2 linked regions of the Canis lupus familiaris genome follow. The protein of the gene in region 2 purifies or fractionates together with the protein of the main gene of each other region. This does not show direct contact. Links are inferred from orthologs where the notes say so. Each region holds a gene or a part of one and is shown on either strand. Other genes may lie near its edges. The genes, in order: ITCH and LAPTM5.

Region 1 (4,369 bases), on a different chromosome or scaffold from region 2:
CCTACAGCAGTGATTCTCCAAGTGTGGTCTGTGGTTAATGCAAATTCTCAGGCCCCACCCCAGACCTACTGAATCAGAAATTCTAGGGGTGGGGTCCAGCAATCTATGGTTTAATGAATCCTTTTTTTTTTTTTTAAGATTTTATTTATTTATTCATGAGAGACAGAGAGACAGAGGCAGAGACACAGGCAGAGGGAGAAGCAGGCCTCACGCAGGGAGCCCAACATGGGACTGGATCCCACGTCTCCAGGATCAGGCCCTGGGTTGAAGGCGGCCCTAAACTGCTGAGCTGCTGAGCCACCCAGACTGCCCAGTTTAATGAATCCTTCAGGAGATTTTTTCTCTCTCTTTTTTAAAGATTATATTTATTTATTCATGAGAGACACACAGAGAGATGCAGAGACATAGCAGAGAGACAAACAGGATCCCTGTGGGGAGCCTAATGTGGAATTCCATCCCAAGACCCTGGGATCACAGCCTGAGCGAAAGGTAGATGCGCAACCACTAAGCCACTCAGGTGCTCTTCTTTAGGAGATTCTGATGGGCACTAAAGTTTGAGAACCACTGCCTTGGAGATTCTGAATGGGTTAGGATCCAGAAGTCTGCATCATTAATAAGCTCTCTTAAGTCATATTGCAGGAATGCAATTTGAGAATTGAGAATTGAGATTTGAACATACTTTGAAAAATGCAAGTGACTTTCCAGATGGTAAAATATGTTCATAAGGAGGAAACAGGCTAAACAATAATAGCTAAGGTCATTAATTAGGAAGCCCTTATCTGGGCCTCTGAATTTACTTGCACAGCCTATTAATTCTCACAAACAACCCATAAAGAAGAGGATGGACTCTGAAGTCAAACTGCCTGGGTTCCTATCCAGCTTGTGACTTGGTTTACCCATCTGTAAAGTGAGGATAATGGAGGTAGTTTCCTTATAGATTTGTTGTGAGGATTAAAGAAGCTTATTGATCAGCTCTTCCAATACCTGCCAGATTGGCACCACTTACATGTAGGCTATTCTCATCATCCTTAAGCGTACTTTGTTAAAAGGTGGATTTGAACCCCATCAATTTAACTCCCCAGCGTTACTTTCTTAAGGACTAAACTATAATCCAGTGTTTCTGAAAGTGTGATTCCCCCACCAGAAGCACAGCCGAGTTAGAAATGCAAATTACTAGATCTCATCCCAGATCTGCTGAAACGGAAACTCTGGGGGTGGGGCTCTCCTAAATGTCAACAAGCCCTTCAGGTGTTTCTGATGCACAATAGCTTTTGGGAACCACAGCTACAGTCTTTAGAGGTTCTGGGGAAGTGGGCATACTTTAAAAAAAAAAAAAAAAAAAAAAAAGCCTAGAGTGGCTGCGAGCAATCCCATAGTCCCTCCTACTAAGGGCGAGTAAACTCCGGTGTAGCTGCGCTGCCCAGCTCCGGCCAATTCTCCCGGTCAGCGCGCAAGGCTTTCTGGGGCTTGTAGTCCACATCCCTGCCGAGCAGGAGGCGCCTGCGCGTTGGCCGCCAACTCGCTCTAGTCGCTGTGGTCTGGGCTCGGGACCGGCTGCCATCTTAGTCGAGGGACTGAAGAGTCGCCGCCGCCCCGAGTCCCGGTAAACATTCGCGGGCGGACTGGGGGCGCTTCTGGGTAGGAGGGGGAGCCCGCAAGAGAGTGTCGGAGGAGAACCAGGGGTGAAGGAGTGCGGCGCGCGGGCAGAGGACCCTAGAGCCGCGACTGCTCTCTCCTCTCTCACAGCCGGTGCCCGTGGGGGGCGCGGGGAGCTCGGGCTAGTGGCCGAGGGGTGGGTTGGCCGGAGACGCCGAGGAGCCACTTTTTGACCGAGGCGTGGGGAGCCCCTCGCCTCGCGGGCGCCAAGTTGTGAGAGGGCTGGGCCGCGTTGGGCGCCAGCTGGGGCCGGCCCCGCGCCCCTCAGCCCCGCCCGGGGGCCACTCTCCCGCGGCCCGGCCTACGCGCGGGGCCCGGCGGCAGCGGCCGGAGCGGCCGACGTGGCCCTGTGAGGGGCGGCGGCCGGGCCCACCTGCCACTCGGCTGGCCTTCCCGAGACTTTTTGGAGCCCCCAGTCACGAGGCAGGCCCAGCGTAGCGGCTGCCTTCTCTTTCTTACACTCCCCTCCTCCCTCCATTGTCCCCCATCGTGGTGGTCCCGGCCCAGGCGCCCTTTTCCGCGCCTGCTGCCGCGGCCCCGCGGGCACCTCCCGGCGCCGAGTTTTGCAGACGTGGAGCTGTCACTGCCCTCCCTCTTGAGTGCCCTTTTCTTTGGCAGAGAAAAGAAAAAAAAGTAGTCGTGAACGTATTCTAAGGGTGAGAACGTGATGAGGACACGACTTAGTGGGGGAACTCAAGTTTTCAGACACAGTCTCGGGCCACGGCTTACAGAGAAACACAGGGTCTGTGCGCTCAAGGTGGACGTTGGGCCTAAAGTTAAAGATGTAACAAGGTGAACGTGCAAACTACCCGAAATTCACGATTCCCCAATAACAACTCAGCTTTTCTCGGTTATATGCGCATGTTAGTCTTGTTACATTTTCTGCCATAATTCTACAGCTTCAGTATACTTTTTTGGGAGTGAGGGTTGGGGAAGGAAAAGTGGGATTTTTTTGCCCTTTGGAAATTATTGAGGCACTGGAGCCAGTCACTTATCATTGCACTTAGTTGGGGGGTCTCCCGCATCTTTTCTTAATCGATTTTAGGGAAGTATGTAAAGGCAGCGGATACTAACCCTCAAAATCAGCTAAGGATTTCTCAGCTGAAATAAAGTTCTCATGGCAGCTATGCTGGAAGCCTGCACTATGTATTTATTCATAGATTTACTCGGGGTACAGTTATCAACAGAATGTAAGGTTTTTGGGTGTGAGTCCAGAAGGAATTCCTTCATGGTCAGTATATGAATCAAGTCAAAAAGGACATGAAATAAAAAATGAGTGCAGAATACGTTTTCACAGTATTCCAGAGGGAATCATTTCTGAATTCTAAAACAAAACAAAACAAAAACAAAAAACAAAAAACAAAAAAAACCCATCTGTTCGCCTATTGAAAAAGATAGACAAACCAGTAGTTCCTCAAATTGCACATTAGAATAGTTAGGGGAGCTTTTTAAAAGTAGAAATTCCAGGGTCTCCTTTTCTGACATCAATTTAGTAGGTCTGCTTTTGCCCTGAAGAATTTATTTTTAAAACATGCCTCAGGCAGCTCTCTTGGTTTTGGGAACCACTGAGGCAAACAATACTGTGAATCTACTGAGAAGCTTGAGACAGAATTGGCCAGTTCTGTCTGGGGTTTGGCTGTTGAAGGTGGCAGGACCTGCTCCTGTCCTAAGTTTGGCCTTAGATGATGAGTGGGAATGTGATAAGGATGGGGTAAGGGAAGGACAGTGCTGTATGTAAATGCAGAAGATAGTGGGAGAAAAAGGGTTCAGGGAACAGGGAGTGGGATGGGGAAGGAGAGCATTGTAGGATGTGAGGTCAGAAAGGTAAAAGGAGGTAACTGAAAAGTTATAATGCTAAAAACTGGAGTTTTATGTTAGTAGATTCAGAATTTAGACAGGGAAGTGATATGAGTGACGTGTGTTGTAGAAAAATGGCTCTGGTGATGAGAGTGAAAGGGTGGAAGAGTGGCTATTGCAGAGGTCTAGGTGAGAGGTGAAAGGACTTAATGTTGGAGAGAGGCTGTGGGGATGCTCAAGGGATTAGATTTAGTTCTTTACTAGTGCAATATTGTTGCCATATTTTTGGATGAGACTTTTTGGGGCCAGACTGGGTAAAAAGGCTCTTGTTCTGTAAAAAGAACCCATTAGCAAATCTGAACAATATTACCAGGTTATATATATTAATGGTATCAAAATATATTGTTCATTAGTACTTTTGGAAAATTAGAACTAAATTGGTTGCATTTGGAGGAGAACTTGGAGATTACACTGAAATTTATGACTTTCAACACTACTGATCTAAGCCTGTTGGAAGTGTTTTTCTCTTGTACTCAGGAACTTGGTATTAGAATTTTGGAAGAGATAATCTAGTCCACAGTGGCAAATATATTTTGGTTAATCAATTCTGCTTTGAAGTAGCTGCCAAAAGCACTGTATTGAGAAGGATTTTGGTCATATGTGCTCTCTGGGAAAGTAAGTTATGATTGATAAGTGCCTGATACTTCCTGTGGACACTGTCATCTCCTAGGTGATATATATGCCAGGTATATGCCATAATTAGACTAGTCCAACCTATTAGTTTTCTGTTTGCTTATAAAAAAAAAAATCCTAAGCAGTAAATAATTTACCTAGAACAGGTTAAGATTTAGAGCTAGAATTAGAACCAAGTTTTGTGACTCTTAGTTTATTATTCTCCAGTGTGTCAAGATGATTG
Region 2 (3,807 bases):
CTGAATGTTTTTGTAGCTTCTTATGTATTGTGTGTGTGGTTACTCTGGTAAAATTATGCCATATTCGGGAAGGGAAGGATAATGACATACTGTAGTGGTATTAATGTGGAGATCCGCAAAAATCTGAGGACATATCTTTATAAAGACCAGGCTGCTTTGTCATCAATCAAGGGATATAGAGGACCTGAAGAAGTCGTCTGGTCCTCTTTACTTATATTGAGTAGTGCCCTAAAACTGTGCAGAGAAGCCGTGGGGCCATACTGAGATGTGTTGAGTGCCCCTCTCTCCAAGCATAAAAAACGAGTATTATTTCTGTGATGGAATTCACACAGCAGGGCTCCCTGTAGGATGGGGCAGGGCCACCCCTAAGGTCACACGTCTGCCCGGCTCCTTCCCTTTGTCCCGCCCCATGCTGTCCCCAGTCCTCCTCAAGTGTCTATCTGGGAGCTCTCCGGCAATCAATCATTAGCACAAGCATCCTCCTCCCGGGCTCCATCTCTAGGGAACCTAAGCATGGAGGCACAGACAAGGGACACAGCTCGCTCACGGCCACACAGCCAGTGATGGGGGCGGGCCCCTGGCCCAGACTCACCATGTGGTTCATGGCCTTGAAGTTGAGATAGGTGGGCACTTCCATGTAGGAGCTGCAGAGGGTCAGGATGCTCAGACAGAAATCCAGCAGCTGCAAGGTCATCAGTGGGACCTTGGAGGGACCCTTGGGGCGCAAAGGCAGGAGGAAGGAGACAAACCAGCAATGAAGCCCTAAGCTGGAGGTCCCGGTGCTGTTCGAGAGGCCATCAGCCAGAGACACCGGGGACTCTCCAGCCCACAGGACCCAGAAAGGAATGGATGCCCGCTTCTTGGACATTCCTGCCCTGGCTGGCAGGACCCGGCCTCTGCCCAGGGTCTCCCGATGCCCAGCCCGGGGCCAGCCACTCCCTAACTTCCAGGGCAACAGTTAGGGAGAGTCAGGGATTGGCAGCCCCGTCACTGGCATCCGCCCCGTGGATGCTCATTGTTGGCTTTAACCGACTGTATCTTCCTTCCTTCAATGTGGTGACAAAACAGGGACAAAGCAGAGGCTGGGGACTGAGGCGCACATGTCCCCTTCCCTGCGATGTAGTGCCCACAAGGCCCTGACCCACAGGGCCATCACTGGGCCCTCGGAGGGCAACCTTTCCTCACTTAATGCCCGTGGCCCACACGGGTGGCAGCCCTCGCAGGTGGATCTTACAGACAAAGGAACTTGAGGTGATTGGATGGGCTCGGGCTCATCAGCCCAGGAGGGCCCCGGGCGCTGCCACCGCACTAGCCTGAGCCCCTGCCCCCTGCCCAGGCTGGGCCGACTATGGGACGTGGGACGGGGCTGCGTACTCACCACCCGGCTGCTCCGGGAGGCAAACTTGAGGTAGGCGGGCAGCTCGATGTAGGAGCCCAGCAGGGTGAGCAGACACAGCAGGAAGTCCATGATTTGCAGAGACAGGAAGGGCAGCAGGTACTTCTCCCGGTTCTGGAAGACAGGCCCAGCACTGTCAGGCAGTCTGCCGGAGACTGATGCCCCGTGCGCCCCCCGCACTGGCAGCTCCTGTCCCTCCCGGGGTAACACGGCTCTCTCCCGTCACCCCCTCCTGCCTTAGCTTCAGGTGGACCCATGCACCTTCCTCTGACTGAGGTTCTGGGATGGGGAGGAGGTAAAACCCAGGCCTTGAGGGCCAGGCGTCTTGGTGTCCCAGGACACACGAGCAAGGGTCCCCATCTACAGAGATCCAGGGCCACCGGGAGCCGGCTCTGACCCTGCTTGCTCTGAAGAACCCCACCAGGAGGGGCTTTGTGTCCATTTTACATCAGAGAGGACTTCCTAGAGGTGGGGACCCTGAGGCTAGATCTGGTAAGAACCATGGGGGAAACGGGGAGCGCATTGGAGGCAGAAGGGCCAACATGAGCAAAGGTCCGATGGTGGCAGGGGAAGCCCACACTGCTGCGATGGTGGGACCCTCCTCTGTGGGGGCCACTCTTGGGGTGTGTGGTCATGGTCAGAGGCCCTGGGTGGCTGAGGCTGAAGTCCCTCTCCTTCAACTTAAAGCAAGTGACTACTGTGACCAATATGAGGGCACATGAACTCGCCACTGGGGACAAAATCACAGAAGGGGTGGTTTTGTGGTTTCTCATGTGGCTGTCTAAGATCACTCAGGAGGCAGCCAGAAGAGCCCAGACTCAATCTCAGGGCCTTCTGGACCACCCAGTCCACTTTTCTAGCTGGACCATGTGTGTCTCTGCACAATAATTCAGGACCCACCTGGCACAAGGTAAAGTCACTCCCTGGGGTACAGAGTTTCGAAAGGGTGCTGTTAGCTAAGGGAGTGATGAGGGGGGTGCAGGCAAGGTGAAGGTGTTCCAAAGCAGCCCCTGATCCTTCCTTGCACCAGTCTCCTGGCCAGTGATTGCCAGGCCACAGGCTCCCTGGAAGAGGCCACTCTTGCTGGGTCCTGCTTTGGTGGCTGTGCAGTGAGGCCCTGGCTTCCTGCCCCCTGGGGGATGAGGGACAGACCGGTTCCTCTTCGCAGAAGACTGAGCTACAGCCTCTCTCTCTCTCTCTCTCTCTCTCTCTCTCTCTCTCTCTCTCTCTCTCTCTCTCTCTCTCCCTCCCTCCTTTCCTCCCTCCCCAGCTAGCTGGGTGGAACTGAGCCACAAGAGTCTACCCGCCCCCCTGCTCTCTCTGCTCTGGTTCCTCTCACTGATTACAAAACCCACTGTTTTTTCACCTCCCCACACCTCAAAATGACCCTTCCTCTTTTCTCTACCAAAATTCCCTGCTTCTTGCATTTGCAGCTTCCAACCATGAAGGTTAGCAGCTAGTATGACCAAAGTATCTGTGTGCGTGCCCCCACCCTGGAGGGTGCGTGTCAGCGGGAGCCAGGGCCTCCAGCCCCAGAAGGCTGGTGTGGAAACGAGGCTTCCCATACTGTCCTCAAGCTTGAAGATCCCTGGGGCACAAGTGGGGTCTCCCAAAGCACCCACCTCCCACCCTCTTGTCAGTGCTGTTCACCCAGTGGGTGTGAATATGAAGGGGGCAGGAGGATAGCTGAGGGTCCCGGCCAGCCCCCAGAACCTCCCCGACCCCGACCAAGCCCTCACCTTGACCACTCCGATGAGCAGGCTCAAGCTGATGACAAAGAGCATGATGATGAGCAGGAAGCTGGAGATCAGGTTGGCTGCAAGGCAAGGGACAGTAGTGAGGGGCCCGGAGGTGCCCCCAGGACACCCATGCGGGTTCCAAGGACCACATTTTGGGAATCACTGGTGTGGAGGCCGTGACAGTGAGCAAGCCAGCCCAGACCCTGCCCTCCTGCAGTTCTCAGCCCTGGAGGACCACAGAGACAGCAAACACAACATTTCGGTAACCCGGCTGCAGGGTGAGAGGGTGGCCCCGGGCTGCTCTAGCCAGGGGGAGGCCAGCCTGTGAGCTGAGTGACCAGGAGCCCAGGCAGCTGAGCTTGCTGTGGTCAGCCCATCGGGAGCAGGGAGCTCGAGGGGGTGCTGGGACCCGCAGCCAGAGGTCGGCAGGGGCTGGATGCCACGGTGGGAGTTTCTGTTTTATTCCAGGGTGGTGGGCAGCCACAGACAGATGTGAGCAGGAGAGTCCTGCTGTCACCTTCCTGGCCGGCCAGATTGACAAAGCACCTTCCTGTCTGCTCTCACACCTAGATACTAGGGTGGGGACAGGTCTCTATTTGCAGATGAAATGTCTGAGGCTCAGAAGGAAGAGGTGGGGCGTCAGACCTCAGCCAGTCTGCCCACAGCCAGGGC

The links.
Region 1: the proteins of LAPTM5 (region 2) and ITCH purify together in Homo sapiens (affinity purification with western blotting; 3 studies listed by BioGRID and IntAct, with this or other methods). This does not show direct contact. The link is inferred for Canis lupus familiaris from reciprocal best matches to the Homo sapiens genes LAPTM5 and ITCH.

Annotation. Positions count from the first base shown.
Region 1 is NC_049245.1:23,988,671-23,993,039, forward strand, and holds the start of ITCH (E3 ubiquitin-protein ligase Itchy homolog), read left to right. Parts: upstream 1-1,479; 5' UTR 1,480-1,603; intron 1,604-4,369. UniProt on the Homo sapiens protein: Acts as an Acts as an E3 ubiquitin-protein ligase which accepts ubiquitin from an E2 ubiquitin-conjugating enzyme in the form of a thioester and then directly transfers the ubiquitin to targeted substrates.
Region 2 is NC_049223.1:69,597,491-69,601,297, reverse strand, and holds part of LAPTM5 (lysosomal-associated transmembrane protein 5), read right to left. Parts: intron 3,213-3,807; coding exon 3,136-3,212; intron 1,511-3,135; coding exon 1,379-1,510; intron 716-1,378; coding exon 593-715; intron 1-592. UniProt on the Homo sapiens protein: May have a special functional role during embryogenesis and in adult hematopoietic cells.